Stegostoma tigrinum: one gene and its partner. The protein of the gene in region 2 purifies or fractionates together with the protein of the main gene of each other region. This does not show direct contact. Links are inferred from orthologs where the notes say so. Each region holds a gene or a part of one and is shown on either strand. Other genes may lie near its edges.

Evidence for each region. The genes of interacting proteins can lie anywhere in the genome.
Region 1: the proteins of xrn2 (region 2) and cdkn2aipnl purify together in Homo sapiens (co-immunoprecipitation; 6 studies listed by BioGRID and IntAct, with this or other methods). This does not show direct contact. The link is inferred for Stegostoma tigrinum from reciprocal best matches to the Homo sapiens genes XRN2 and CDKN2AIPNL.

Annotation. Positions count from the first base shown.
Region 1 is NC_081366.1:30,321,839-30,329,652, reverse strand, and holds the start of cdkn2aipnl (CDKN2AIP N-terminal-like protein), read left to right. Parts: upstream 1-4,800; 5' UTR 4,801-4,880; coding exon 4,881-5,095; intron 5,096-5,608; coding exon 5,609-5,708; intron 5,709-7,814.
Region 2 is NC_081362.1:13,334,444-13,342,321, forward strand, and holds the start of xrn2 (5'-3' exoribonuclease 2), read right to left. Parts: upstream 3,010-7,878; 5' UTR 2,774-3,009; coding exon 2,699-2,773; intron 1-2,698. UniProt on the Homo sapiens protein: Possesses 5'->3' exoribonuclease activity. May promote the termination of transcription by RNA polymerase II.

The DNA.
Region 1 (7,814 bases), on a different chromosome or scaffold from region 2:
ACATTTGATTTTATTTATTATTGTCATGTCTACCGAGATACAATGAAAAGTATTGCTTTGCGTGCTAACCAGATAAGGCATACCTTACATAAGTGCATCAGGGTAATAGAACAGAATGCAGAATGTAGTGTTACGGCTAAAGAGAATGCACAGAGAAAGATCAATTCTAACATACGAGAGTTAATTCATAAGTCTGATAACTGTGGGGAAGAAGCAGTTCTTAGACATCGGTGTAACTTGCTATCGTACAATACAATACATCTTGTTTATAACAAGAGCCGCTTCTCATTTAACTACCAAGTGGTTTTCCTCTATGAAAGAAGGCCAATCAGACAATGACTCCCTGCTGGGAAATACGATGATGGCAGAAAATCTACCACATGGCTCAAGATAACAGCAATCAGAAACATCTGATTGTAGAATAAGAGAGGAATTAAAACTGTAATTGTAGATGTGTACAGCCATCCTGATGGCAAAAATTGAATTGCGGCATTTATTAATTCAGAGAATAAAGAAATCTGTAGAAAAAGCAAAGTTGTTGTAATGGAACGGTTCACTTTTCATTTAGTTTGAAAAAAGCGGAGTAACTTCACTGAGAAAGACAATGAGTTTCTTAAGCATATCCGGTCAAATACAATGTTAGGTTTTAATAAGAGAAATTTGATATAGTTACTAAGATTTTAGGTTTTGATCAGGCTAACTTTAACAGGACAAGATAGATTCATCAGCTGAAGCTAGTTAAAATTGTTATCATACAAAGCTGCAAATGAACAATGGTTGGGGGTGGGGGGTGTGGGGTTTGCAAACAGTTTAATTTGTAGAACAACAATACATATCCTAAGCAGACACTATAGAGAGATAACATAAAATGAGTAAAGTGCAAAGAATACTGCAAATCTAATGAACTGCAAGAGCTAAAAAGTATAGTATAGGGCTACTGTGCCTTTAACTCAGCTGCTTGGACCACTGGTTTGCAATGTAGTTATAAGGGCTTTTATAGTATAGTGGTGTTGTACCTACCACTAACCCAGGATACCCAGACTCAAGTCTCACCTGATCTAGTGGTCACAATAATACCATTGAGCAGGTTGATTAGAAAATGTAAAGAAAGACAAAAAAAATGGTTTAAGAACCAAAGGGGAATGTGAAAAAAAAACTTGCAAGAAACATTGTAATGAAAACCAGGATATTGTAGACTTATTAGTCCAACATCTGTTCTAAGAAGTATTTGGGATGTATAACTAAAGACCCCTTGGCTGAAGATTTAGAGAAATTTGAGCTTCATAGACAGAGACAATATGAATTGAATAATTTAATTAACCTAGAGCCATTGTGTGGAATATGGGCAAAATATTGATGGCCTTAATCATTGTATGTTGGGAAGGGAATAAGTTTGGTGGGAAGGTGTTGAGTAGGGTCCACACTGCTATCCCACCTTTACCTGATTAAGTCCAGTGCATGAAGTCTTGTTGAAACCTTCCTGTAAAAACAATTAAGGTCCTTACAAGGGCAATTAGTGCCACCAAAGGGCATCATTGTACCACTATTAGTATTTAACATGGTAAGTAGAGTTGCAAAGTTGGGTAGTGTAAATGTGTTTGTAGAGGCAGGACATTGGAATTTGGTGTTTGCAAAAAATTGATGCTTGTAAAATGCTAGGGGTGGAAAGCATTGCATGGTCTCTTTAAAAAACGAGGTGCTTTTTCTATGCATAGAGATTCAAAATGGATGTTTGTGGGTTTGCAGGTACACAGAGAACCTGAATTAAAACATTTGTATCAAAAGGCTGAACTGGTAGCGGGCAAAGCAGCATTTTCACCAAGACAGCAGGGTCGAATTTAGTCAATTAATGTAACCAGGCCCTTCGATGCCAAAAACCAATAAAATTCAAATCTGAGATAGTAACAATTGCAGATGCTGGAATCTTAGATACCACAGTGTGGAACTGGAGGAACACAGCAAGCAAGGTAGCATCAGAGGAGCAGGAAAGTTGGCTTTTTGGGTTGGGACCTTTCTTCAGAAAATTTAAATCTGATAGATTTGACAACATAGGATCAATCCTATTGCGTGAAATTGAAATGTCACCAAGGCTATAAAAGATTAGAGCATTTGGACAACCAGGAGAGAGCAAACTGTTATCTGCTAAGGGAACAGCTCTCAGCTACAAAAGGAAGAATCGCTGGCTCTCACAGAATTCTCTAAACCTTAGAGTAAGATCCATCTAAATTATAGGTACCTACAGCACAAACAGTTAATCTTCATGACAAAAGAATTCGACAGAGAAGGCATTCCTGACAGAAGGATTCACCGAGGAAGTATTCCTAACGAAATAATTCATCAGAGAAGACACAGAACATTCTGGAAGACGTAACCAGAGTAATTTTGAGAATCTAAATTCTAATTTTTCTTTTGGGTTGGGATTGGGATAGCAGCAACACCCTCTACCCAAATAATTATTCCCTTCCAAACATACAATGAGTAAGGCCATCAATATTTTGCCAATATTCCACACAATGGTTCTAGGTTAACCAAAAAAAATGGTTGAGAACCCGACCCGAAACATTAAGCTTTTGTGCTCCTCTGGTGCGTCTTGGCTTGGTGTGTTCATCCAGCTTCACACCGTGTTATCTCAGATTCTCCAGCATCGGCAGTTCCTACTATCTCTAATTTTTCTTTACTTTGTTTTGTATAACTTGGTCTTGTATTTATTGGAACAGCATACCACTAGAATCTTGTTTCATTTGGAAATAGTTGGCAGTTAGACGGGAGTTGTTTGGTTTGTCAATAGTTCAGTTGTTTTGTTCGCTGTTAGAGTTAGATAAATAAATTGTTAGTTGTTGGTTATAGAGTGAGAGTCAGGAGTTTATTTCAGGTAACCACTCCTTTATAACAGATTGGGGGTGAGAGGCAAGTTATACTACTTTTCACACTTCTTTTAACAGATTATAGGGCGAGGCAAACCTTTCTGGTGTTTTGATGTTAGTTATCAGAGAGGGGTGGACCTCTGCTTTATAACAGTAGATAGACGGAAAAACAAGCTCTGTCAGGTTTGTTTGTCAGCTACAGTAGGGTGGTGGTGTTCCCTCAAAACATAATCAGTGCCTAATCAAAGAATGTAGCATCATCGTCTGAGACACTGCTGCTTCCCACACAGCCTGCACCTCCCCTCGTGGCACGGTTCCTTCTTCAATCCAACCTTTTGCTGGCTGCATTACTGGCAACAACCACGACATGCTGATGGGTAATGGGTAGCTGCCAGCCTCTAATTGGTAAACAGATTTCAAGGAGTGAGATTTCTACCCTCTGAGTCCTAAATCTTGGAAAGACCAAATGCTGGACAGTTAAGTGCTTGACGAACACATAATTCCAGCAGGCCTTCCCCAATAGATCTAACTGAATTACCCTAGCCAGTGTGCAAGAGTGCCATCAACAACATAAAATTTTAACCTTTGAGTTGTTATGTTATAAGGCCATTCAACACATTGGGTCTGTGCTGCTATCTGTAGATTGTCCACAGTCCCATTTCATCACTGAATCTTCAAAGGCCTGTAATTTGAATACACCAGAGCCAATGCAATTTTCTTTTGAAGCTATTCATCTACCCTGCTTCCAGCATATTAGACAGCAAGTTTCAGGTCATTACGATTTGCTCTTCTTTACACTTCTCCTCTTACACTTCTCTCAAACCACTTAAGAATTAACAACACTCAAAATTAGATATTTCAATTGTAAGCAACCTCCTTCAGGCTCTTGTGACGCTAGAGGTCGGTGACTGCCCCCGGTCAGTGTACCATCAGCTGATGGGAACAGTTTTCCTTTATCGACTTTATCTAATTCACAATCTTGGACACTTCTATTAAATCACACTTCAACCTTTCAGAGTCAGAAGAAAAAGACCCTTTGGTGTAACTTGTCCATGCCAACCAATTTTCCAAAACAAAACTAGTCCCACATGTGTGTGTTTGGCCCATATCCCTCTAAACCTTTCTTGGTCCTGTCCCTGTCCAAACAACTTTTAAATGTTGTAGCTGTACCTGCATCTAACACTTCCTCTGGCAGTTTATTCCACACACAGAAAAGGTTACCCTTCGCATCCTCTTCAAATCTTCCTTCATTTTCTAAAGGATAAAACTCTATTTCTCCAATCCAAACTGCTGGCTAAAACTACTCACTTCCAGAACTGTTCTGGCAAATGTCCCCTACCCCTCTGGCCAGAAATTCACTTCTTTAGCAGATGAAATGGTAGACAGGTAAACGTTTCTATGGATATAGCCTTGTAAATAAACTTTCAGAAAGAAAGTTTCCATTTAAGAGCCTGATAGTTTAAAAGAACTCTTAATCGAAAGCAAATTATTAGCCTGGTTGGTGATCGGTCAGGTATTTTTAATAATGTGGACATGCTGGGGTTGGACTAGGTTGGCCAAAATCACAAGTCACAGGACATCAGGTTATAATCCAACAGCTTTATTTGAAATCACAAGCTTTCGAAGCACTGCTACCTCAGATGAAGGTATTTTTAAATTAGTAAATTGGAGATAGCAAGAACTATGGAGTCAATACAGTGTGGAGCTGGAGCAACACAGCAGATCAGACTCAATAAATAAGTCCATGGACGCTGGCCATCCTCCTCTGCTCCAACACGGACACCAAGTGGGTGAGCCGACTCTCATCCCGCTCCTGCCCCGCCCATACCCCGTGGCCCCGCCCCATACCCCCCGCGGACACGCACTGTCCTTTCCCCGCCCCCCAATCATCGTCGCCACTGCGGCTGCGCCCCTCCACTTCCCCACCCTCCCACCCTAGCCGCGGCCCCGCCCCCACCGCCCGGAGGCCCGCTCGCGGTGCCTGCTGGGAGTCGTTCCCGGTGCCCTTTCAGTAAGATGGAGGAGTCGGCTTTGGACGATTTTCTGAAGAGGAACCGGGAGATGGCGGATTGCAGTTTGGAGCGGCTCCGGGGCCTATCCGAAAGCGACAAACACTGGACGGCGCGGAGGAGCTTTCTGGTCCGGAACTTGTCCGATTACCCGCGGGATCGCCTGGATTACTTGGTCGCCCTATCCATGGTCTGGGCCAACCATGTCTTCATGGGTTGCCGGTAAGTTGGGGTGGGGAATGCCGGGGCTTCGCTCAGCTTCTGAGCCCCTTCTAGACCGTGGGGCACCCCGGGTGGATGTGCGGTTCTCTTCAGATATCTCTGAGCAGCGAGGCTGCTGCTCCCTAGATGGGTCAGGTGCTTGGCTACGCAACGAGACCGGTTATAGGCCTGGAATAACGGCCTCTTTTCCAGCACTACCCCAGCCACAGGGGTTGGGAGACAATCCAGTTCCCCTCGCCCTTGGGATCACTGAGACAGAGATTCAGTGGGAACATATAACGTTGTCATATCTCTGTCAGGGACAGGACTTTCTTACCCCACTCAGGCTTCGAAAAAGCCATCGTGTCACGCATGCTGCAAGGTCTGATTGTATTTTCAAAAATATTTGTAAAATTACGGCCCAGCGTTGCGGGTTGAGTAGAATGCAATCTTCTCTCTTCTTCCTCCTTTCCCCTCCCCCGAAATTATTCACCGAGATTTGCTGAATGTAATTTTCTATAATATGTATTTTAGTTATAGTGATCAGCTTATGGAAAAGGTTTTGGATATGGCAGATGGAGTTCATGTAGAAGATGCACCGCATTTCACCACAAGAGATGAAATAATGACGCAGGTATTGTACAATAACGGCACAGATTTACAACAATGAAGGAGCCCTGCAGCCTAGCTAGTCAGTGCCAGTAAAAGAAAGTGTCTAATTCCAGGGTCTAGGCCCGAAACGTCAGCTTTTGTGCTCCTGAGATGCTGCTTGGCCTGCTGTGTTCATCCAGCCTCACATTTTATTATCTTGGATTCTCCAGCATCTGCAGTTCCCATTATCTCTCTCTCTCCAGTTTCCAGCATTTGTTACAGCACTTCAAGTGCATATCCAGGGTTTCTTTCAAAATGCAGAAGTTTCACTTCTCCTACTTTTACAGGTGCATGTAGATCCTCATCATCTTTTGGATGTAAACATTTCCCAACAACTTCTCTCTCATCTTTCTGTCAACTACTTTGAATCTGTGCTTCCTGATTATTGACCCCTCTCTGCTGACAGACAAAAGTTCCCCCTTATCCACACTGCCTAGGCTCCTCATAAATTCTATATATCTGTTCAAATATCCCTTCAGTGTCTCTGTTCCACTAACAGGCTGTTCTGTCTACAGACAAATGTGCTATGAACCATTTGTCTAAATGTTGAAAATATGGGTAAGTGGAAGTGACAGATCTGCAAGGAACTGATCTTCCAATTGCATGCCGTCCCTTGCTGGCATTCAGTGAATTTATCAGAAGAAATATAGGAGAGAAACAATCTGTGATTGGCAGAGCAATGAGCACCATGAAGCTAAGTCACTTATTTTGCTTTTATAGCCATTTCCTTCCCACATAATTGCTGGCCATAAAGCAATACAGGGCTCAGTTTAGTGAAAAGGGTTTGGAGGCCAAGAGGAACCAGAGGCCAGAGGTTGAGTTGAAGTTTCTGACAGTACTGAGGAAACATGTCGTGTCACCTTTCAGCCTTCCTAAATGCCTTATCAGTGGTAAAAAGTACATATGTCACTAAGAATGAGTGAGCCTGCTGAGAGTGACTGTAGGTGTGCGTGTAAACCCTGAAACTGGAAGTGAGTTGGAGATGCACACGGTTTTTCCCGTCCTTCCTCCCTCCCTCAGAACCTATCTGGAAAGCAGGCCAGGAGAGAGAGAGAACTCTTCCAGGTCAGTTCAGAGTGTTTGCCTCCAGAGGCAAATACAAGATCAATGATAATTAAATTCAACTCCCTAGCTCAGCCCCAGTCTCCAGCTGCTTACCTGGTAATCAGGACTAGGGCCTATCCTGCCTCTGGTTCGCCTGCATTGAAAAGGCAAAATACATTTTAGCGTTTAAACGCTGTGCTGCTTGTTACTTTTGGTGGTCATTTTTATTCATTTTTTTAAAAAACTGATAAATTTATTGACTGTTTCCTGGAAATTCATATTTGAGGTTACGCCAAACGTGATCTTTAGCGATCTGTACATAGGCACCTTGCCTGAGGAAAAATGAAACATGGCCTATCATGTGAAAAGATTGAACAACCAAGCTTTTGTTTTGAAAGCTATGTAAATGTGTGATTGTTGAATGTTCTATGGAGCTTCTTTTCAAAAATTCAACTGTTCTCTATATTAAATATTTCAAATTGACAGTTTTAATGGTAACATCCCCAATATATTTATTCTCTAGTCACTTTACAAAGATCTGCTTAATATTAAAAATCTGATCATCTCATGACCTTTCCAGTCCATTAGAATTTTGTGACAGATTTATAATAGAATGTGTTTCACACCATTAATTTTGTTCCTACAACCTGTTGAACATTTTATCTTTCCAATATAAAATTATATTTGAAGTAGTTGTATTTTAATAGACTTACTTATATGTCCATTTGCCAATGTCCAGTTACCTGATCACTTTAGTTTTAAATCATAGAATATCTACCGTGTGGAAGTAGCCCCATCAGCCCACACTGACCCTCCAAAGAGCATCTAACCCAGACTTATCTACCCTATCTGTGCATTTCCCACTCTAGAAACTATGGGCAATTTATCATAGCCAGTCCACCTAAACTGCACATCTTTGGACTGTGGGAGGAAACCAGAACACCCAGAAGAAACCCACGCAGACGTGGGGAGACTCCAAACAGACAGTCGCCCAAGGCTAATCGAACCTGGGTCCCTGGTGCTGTGAGACAGCAGTGCTAGGCAC
Region 2 (7,878 bases):
GCTTGAAATGGACGTCAGTTACAAACTGGTTGCCTGAGATGGAGACTGAGAGGTCCAGGAAGGTGAGGGATGTGCTGGAGATGGCCCAGGTGAACTGAAGGTTGGGGTGGAAGGTGTTGGTGAAGTGGATGAACTGTTCGAGCTCCTCTGGGGAGCAAGAGGCGGCGCCGATTGTCAATGTAACGGAGCAAGAGGTGGGTTTTGGGGCCAGTGTAGGTGCGGAAGAGGGATTGTTCCATGTAACCTACAAAGAGGCAGGCTTAGCTTGGGCCAATGCGGGTGCCCATGGCCACCCCCTTTGTCTGTAGGAAGTGGGAGGAACTGAAAGAGAAGTTGTTGAGGGTGAGAACGAGTTCAGCTAGGCGGATGAGGGTGTCGGAGGAGGGGGACTGCTCGGGCCTGCGGGACAGGAAGAAGCGGAGGGCCTTGAGGCCATCTGCATGTGGAATACAGGTGTATAAGGACTGGACGTCCATGGTGAAAATGAGGTGTTGGGGGCCAGGGAATTGGAAGTTCCGGAGGAGATGGAGGGCGTGGGTGGTGTCACGGACGTAGGTAGGGAGTTCCTGGACCAAAGGGGAAAAAATGGAGTCCAGATAGGTGGAGATGAGTTCGGTGGGGCAGGAACAGGCTGAGACAATGGGTCGACCAGGGCAGGCAGGTTTGTGGATTTTGGGAAGGAGATAGAAACGGGCCGTGCGGGGTTGGGGAATAATGAGGTGGGAGGCTGTGGGTGGGAGGTCCCCTGAGGTGATGATGTCATGAATGGTGTTGGAGATGATGGTTTGGTGCTCGGGTGTGGGGTCATGATCAAGGGGGCGGTAGGTGGTGGTGTCGGAGAGTTGGCGTTTGGCCTCAGCGATGTAGAGGTCAGTGTGCCATACTACCACTGCACCACCCTTGACTGCAGGTTTGATGGTGAGGTTGGGGTTGGAGTGGAGGGAGCGGAGGGCTGCCCGTTCTGCAGGGGAGAGGTTGGAGTGGGTGAGAGGGGTGGACGGGTCGAGGCGGTTAATGTCTCGACAGCAGTCCTCCTCTTGGACACCACCCGCAGGCCTCCTACCCTCCCTCGACCTCTTCATCTCCAACTGCCGCCGAGACATCAGCCGCCTCAAACTCTCCACCCCTCTCACCCACTCCAACCTCTCCCCTGCAGAACGGGCAGCCCTCCGCTGCTTGGCCTGCTGTGTTCATCCAGCTTCACACTTTATTATCCTTTGTGAATGTGTTCAGTTTCTACAACTGTCGATGAAAGCTTAATTCATAAGCTTTAATTAAATTTAAATTCTATCAACTGTTGGATACAACATGATGTCAACAAATCATTAGTTAGCCTCGGCCTCTGGAATACAAGTCCAGATCTTACAATCAGAGAAAAAGGTCCCACGTTCCAATTAAGCAGCCCTGTACTTCCTAAACTGAACACCAAGTTCCACAACTTCAGATCATACTCTGTCAATATTATTTTTCACTAACAATTGATGATTCTTCTATTCCTATCTACAGTCCTGCTAGACGTAGCTTTTCATTCATGTATCCCCTTATCGTCTCATCCCACCTTCGTCATTCCTCTTATCATTAAATCTCACCTGATTTTGACTCAGTCACAGAACTCCCCTTTTGTTCTTTTCCTGATCCCTTTTCCACTTTTCCGTCCTTGTTCAAAACCTACTCAACTTCCCCTTTGATAATGGGAACTGCAGATGCTGGAGAATCCAAAATAACAAAGTGTGGAGCTGGATGAACACAGCAGGCCAAGCAGCATCTCAGGAGCACAAAAGCTGACGTTTCGGGCCCAGACCTTTCATCAGGGAGGGTCTGATGAAGGGTCTAGGCCCGAAACATTAGCTTTTGTGCTCCTGAGATGCTGCTTGGCCTGCTGTGTTCATCCAGCTCCACACTTTGTTATCTCAATTTCCCCTTTGACTGGCTACCTGTTAACTGCTTTTCTACACCTCCTTGTAGACAGGCTGCTGTCAGCATTTGCACTTCAAACTACCAGCAGCCTACGAGCCCTTTTGCTTCTGCCGCAAACAAAATACAAGGACCGTAAGATATAGGAGCAGAATCAGGCCTTTCAGCGCATTGAGTCTGCTCTGCAATTCGATTGTGGCTGATGAGTTTCTCAATTCCATTCTGCTGCCTTCTCCCCATAATCCTTGATCCCCTAATGAAGAATCTCACCCTTACCAAAGTTTTTTTACGTAAGTAGAGGTATTGCTAGCAGAAAGAGTTACGCCAGTCTGCTACAGAGAGGATCACAATACTTGGAAAATTTCGGAGTAATCCTGGACTCTCAAACTCTACCTTTACAGACAGTTTAAAAACAATGGGTCAGAAACGATTTACCAACGTTGATGCGTGCCAATATGAAGATTTGAATTTGTAAAAGTCACCAACTGAGCACCACGGGAGAGAGAAAAGACACTGGCTTTCGCATTCTCACTTGACTCAATCGCTTTCACGGGGAGGGGAAAACACAAACCTTACTTTTGAGGTTTTCACATTTACCCTCTCCCTCTGTACACTTGGGGGAATCGGGGGGGGGGCAAGAGCGACGGACAGGAACAGTGGGAAGGAAGGGAGGATTTGAGGGTAAGCAGCGGGTTGGCTTCAGGCCTAGTCTCTCATATATATACACACACACACACACACACACACACACACGGCCCAGCGCGCAGCCTCGGCCATCACGCACCTTCTCCTCCGTGCAGTTCACCACGATGGACGGATATTTGCGGCTCAGCCAGCGAAAGAAGGCCGGAACTCCCATCCTAGTACTTTGGATCGGTTAGCTAGGTGGGTGGGCACAATTACTGTTGCTTCTCCCGAATGTTTTTTTTCCTTCTCCGTCCGTCTGTGTCTCTCTCTCTCTCTCTCTCTCTCTCCCGGGTCCGGCAGCGTTGGGTGGGGGAAGGGGAGAGAGCGAAGGGGCCGCCTCTCGCGCGGCTGGGCGAAATCCGGGCACCGCGCACGCGCCAAGGCCTCCGGGTCGTCTCGCGCCCACTTCCAACCAATGGGAGGGCAAGCGCCCCACACGACCCCACCCCACTAACACACCCGCCCCTGGTAACCCGCGTAGTCACTTCCTGATGGCGTCACCGGGAGGTCAGAGGTTATTCCGACCGGAAGTCACCGTCCCCATGCGCTTCCTCCCCACCCCCACTTTGAAAGGACCACTGACAAGAGTAAGTTCTGCTTTTTCGGTCTCTGCAGAGTCTGCCAGACGTGCTGGATTTCTCCAACAATCCCGTTCCTCCCACCCTCCTGCAAAAATTCCATTCCCAATTCCTCCGCCTCCGCCACCAAGACAAGACACTCCACTCCCGCACATCCCAGATGTCCAAGTTCTTTAAGGACCGCAACTTTCCCCCCACAGTGATCGAGAACGCCCTTGACCGCGTCTCCCGTATTTCCCGCAACACATCCCTCACACCCCGCCCCCGCCACAACCGCCCAAAGAGGATCCCCCTCGTTCTCACACACCACCCCACCAACCTCAGGATACAACGCATCATCCTCCGACACTTCCGCCATTTACAATCCGACCTCACCACCCAAGACATTTTTCCATCCCCTCCCCTGTCTGCTTTCCGGAGAGACCACTCTCTCCGTGACTCCCTTGTTCGCTCCACACTGCCCTCCAACCCCACCACACCCGGCACCTTCCCCTGCAACCGCAGGAAATGCTACACTTGCCCCCACACCTCCTCCCTCACCCCCATCCCAGGCCCCAAGATGACTTTCCATATTAAGCAGAGGTTCACCTGCACATCTGCCAATGTGGTATACTGCATCCACTGTACCCGGTGTGGCATCCTCTACATTGGGGAAACCAAGCGGAGGCTTGGGAATCGCTTTGCAGAACACCTCCGCTCGGTTCGCAATAAACAACTGCACCTCCCAGTCGCAAACCATTTCCACTACCCCTGCCATTCTCTTGATGACATGTCCATCATGAGCCTCCTGCAGTGCCACAATGATGCCACCCGAAAGTTGCAGGAACAGCAACTCATATTCCGCTTGGGAACCCTGCAGCCCAATGGTATCAATGTGGACTTCACCAGCTTCAAAGTCTCCCCTTCCCCCACCGCATCCCAAAACCAGCCCAATTTGACCCCTCCCCCCACTGCACCACACAACCAGCTCAGCTCTTCCCCTCCACCAACTGCATCCCAAAACCAGTCCAGCCTGTCTCTGCCTCCCTGACCTGTTCTTCCTCTCACCCATCCCTTCCTCCCACCCCAAGCCGCACCTCCATCTCCTACCTACTAACCTCATCCCACCTCCTTGACCTGTCCGTCTTCCCTGGACTGACCTATCCCCCTCCCTACCTCCCCACCTATACGCCCCTCTCCACCTATCTTCTTTTCTCTCCATCTTCGGTCCGCCTCCCCCTCTCTCCCTATTTATTCCAGAACCCTCACCCCATCCCCCTCTCTGAAGAAGTGTCTAGGCCCGAAACGTCAGCTTTTGTGCTCCTGAGGTGCTGCTGGGCCTGCTGTGTTCATCCAGCCTCACATTTTATTATCTCCGTTCCAACATCTGCAGTTCTTTCTCTCGTTTAAGGCTGGCAGGTTACCACAGTCGTGAAAAATGTCCCGCGGGTAGTTCTTGGCAACAATTGTTTTGCTTCTCGTTTACAACTTTCTTCGTTGGCGGGGCAGCTGCACCAATACATAGCAAATGTGATTAACGTCTTCATGAATCTAGAAGTGAGAACATCTTATTATGACAAGCAGGAATGCGTACGAAATTGCCACATGGCCATACAGATGCAAGAGTTGGAATAGAAGCAATACGATGGAAAATAAAGGCAAAGGATATGCAGTTTCTGAGATGTAAGATAAAAATGAGTTAGAAAACGCGTACAAATAATGATTAAATTCTGTGGAAGGCAGGCACACCCGAAAACCTTCGTGGCTGGTTCAAGAAATGGCTAGTGTTTTGGGCGTGTACATACCAGAGATAAACTCAACCCAATATTCATGCCACACAACTGCCAGGCAACGATCTCCTCAAACAAGAGAGAATCTAACTCACCAACTATCCAATCCGTGACATTGAATGGCATTCTCATTGTAGGTGTAGTGTAGGGGGGTGGTCTTAGATTAGTTCACAGATTGTTGCAACGTCAAGGGCCAAAGGACAGTTCTGTGCCGTATTGTGATATGTTGTATGACTCCTTAGGCAGCACCTTCCAACTCACAGTCAGTAACATCTAGAAGAACAAACGCAGAAGATGCATGACAACATGACCACCTGCAAGTTCCCTTCCATGTCAGACACCATCCTGAATTGGAAATACAAACCTTCACTGTTGCTTGGTCAAAATCCTTGAATTCCCTCCAGCACCGAAATCCCAAGAACAGCAATGCTTTCAGAAGGTGGATCACCACCATCTTCTGAAGGGCAGTGAGGGATAAGACAATAAGATGTAGGAGCAGAAGTAGGCCATTCAGCCCATTGAATCTGTTATGCCATTCGGTGAGATTATGGCTGATTTGATAATCCTTAATTCCACTTTCCTGCCTTTTCTCAATAACCCTTAATTCCCTTACTAATTAAAAATCTGTCACTGTCAGCCTTTGATACATTTAATGACCCAGCTTTCACAGCACTCTTGTGGTAAAGAAATCCACAGATTCAGAAACCTCTGAGAAAGGACAATTTCCTCTTCATCTCTGTTTTAAACGTGCAACCCTTTAACTGGGCCCTCAAGGCGGGTAACTTGTTGCAGGATTCCTAACCTGTGACCTCCTTTTGTAGCCTCTGTATCTATATGAGTAGTCCAGTTCAGTTTCTGGCCAATGGTAGCCCCTCAGGATGTTGACAATGGGGCTTTCTGAGAAACGTTCAACTCTCAAAGCCTACCAGTTATGCATCAGAGTAAATTTCCTTTCTCCTGTCAAGAAATGTCAGTGTTTCCACAGCTGGGTTAGATCACCCAGTCAAATCAGTCTGAGACAATTTGCCAAGAAACCCACAGTCATTTGGTTTAGAGGGATGGGGGCCAAATACTGACAGATGGGACTGGATCAGTTTAGGATATCTGGCCGGCATGCTCGAGTTGGACTCAGAGGTCTGTTTCAATGCTGTGTGACTTGTAGATAATCCCTGTGACTTTCAGATTTCATTCAGTCAAATCTCTAAATCAAAACAGAATTTTTTTTATTTTAGTTCCTTTTTCTTTTCTAATCCAATTTTGGAATGAACCTTTGTTTCACTGTGGCAACATACATCACCAAGAAGATGTCGATTTTTAAACACAACCTTTGAACTGTCAGGTTTAGGTTCTGACTTCAGATCCCCATTCTCTTTCATGATTCTGGTCTTTTAATTGTCCACGTCAGGAGCAATCTGTGAAGCAGCCAATTTCTCAATCAGCTGCATACATGGAAGATTATAGTTCTCTTTTACTGCTTTAAAAACCCCAGTGAAGTCTTGTGAGGTAAAAAATGGGAAATATGTTTCACAACCCTGTCTTTATATATGAAGCACATATCTGGCAAGGTAAATTCCTTTTAAGCTACAAAGAGCATAAATGTTTTCTGTTACTCGACTCATCCATAAGCAAGGTTCTTTCCATAATTACTTTTTAGGAGTGAATATCTCCGTTCTCAGCAGTCTGATATGTTGTAAAAAAAGTGTTAGGGAGGTTACCTGACTGGACGAACAAACTTGCCCAAGAGAGGAAGTCACATTAGTTGATGTCAACAAACCTAGTTAAGCCAGCAAAGTTGCCTGAATTCATAACGGGGCTCACTTCAAAAGGCCATCTTTTGTGGCTGCGTCCTTGTCCCATCAAGTCATTGATGAACAGTTATTAGGTGTCTACAGTCTCCTGGTTGTGATGAAAGGTTGGTGACCTGGTGGTACATGAGCTGCTGAGATTTATACCTCTTATGTTTAAATAGTGAATGCAGGCAGATGTGCGAGAGGTAGTATGTTCATGGTGCTGTTTTATCACTGATGAGATAAGGAGTGCACTTTCAACTGTGAATATAATCTTCTAAACAGGTAATTGGGTAAGGGGCCTGCATTTACAACTGGGACCTTTCTGTACTCTGTGTAGATCTGGTTGAGGCATTGAGGCACAGTCATGATAGGGGAAGGTCAGTTATTCTTGATTCAGTAAGGTGTTTTTCCAGCTGCCTGTGATTCTCAACTCTATGGAAGTTGAAACTGAGGAGAGATGAGTCTGCATCTGGTGAACATTCTCAACATATATGGACCCTCTAGCCATAAATATCCTCAGGGACAGTCACCCAAAGGTCATCCAGAAAACAAAATCCCTCCACCCAGCTGTGGATCTCAGGACTTTACGTAGATATAGTGGGAGGGTAAGGATGAAAGCCCCTCAATGAGGCCATATAGATAGCACCAGAGACCTTCACATCTGTTCATGTATATATGCATTTCCCATCTTCATGTTTGCTTAACTGTCAATTTAGCTGTAAGACCTGGTTAAGTGGCTACCACGTCAGAGTTGAACAGCCTCTTCATATATCCCAAGGATGATAGGAGTTGTACTGTTTGAAGCAGTGCTTATTTCTGAAAGCATCCAAGATGGCAACAGATGTCAGGGTTCCTTCGGCCTCTACTTTCATGAACGCCAAGGTTTTATAGTGTGAATGCATTATAATAGGGCCTGGCCTGTATTTATGTTCCATGCTTAATACCAAAGTTTATTTTTCACTGTGTGATCATTCATAAATGCGAGCACCTCCATATGAAAAGGCTAATTTTACCAAACAGTTTTACAAGAGAGTGTAACATTATTCAAGGTTGGATGATATCCAGTGCTCTATTTATTTCCAAACTCTGCCTCATGAGACATTTCTCGGGTGGGAAAAGATGCTAAATACGTAGCCTCTA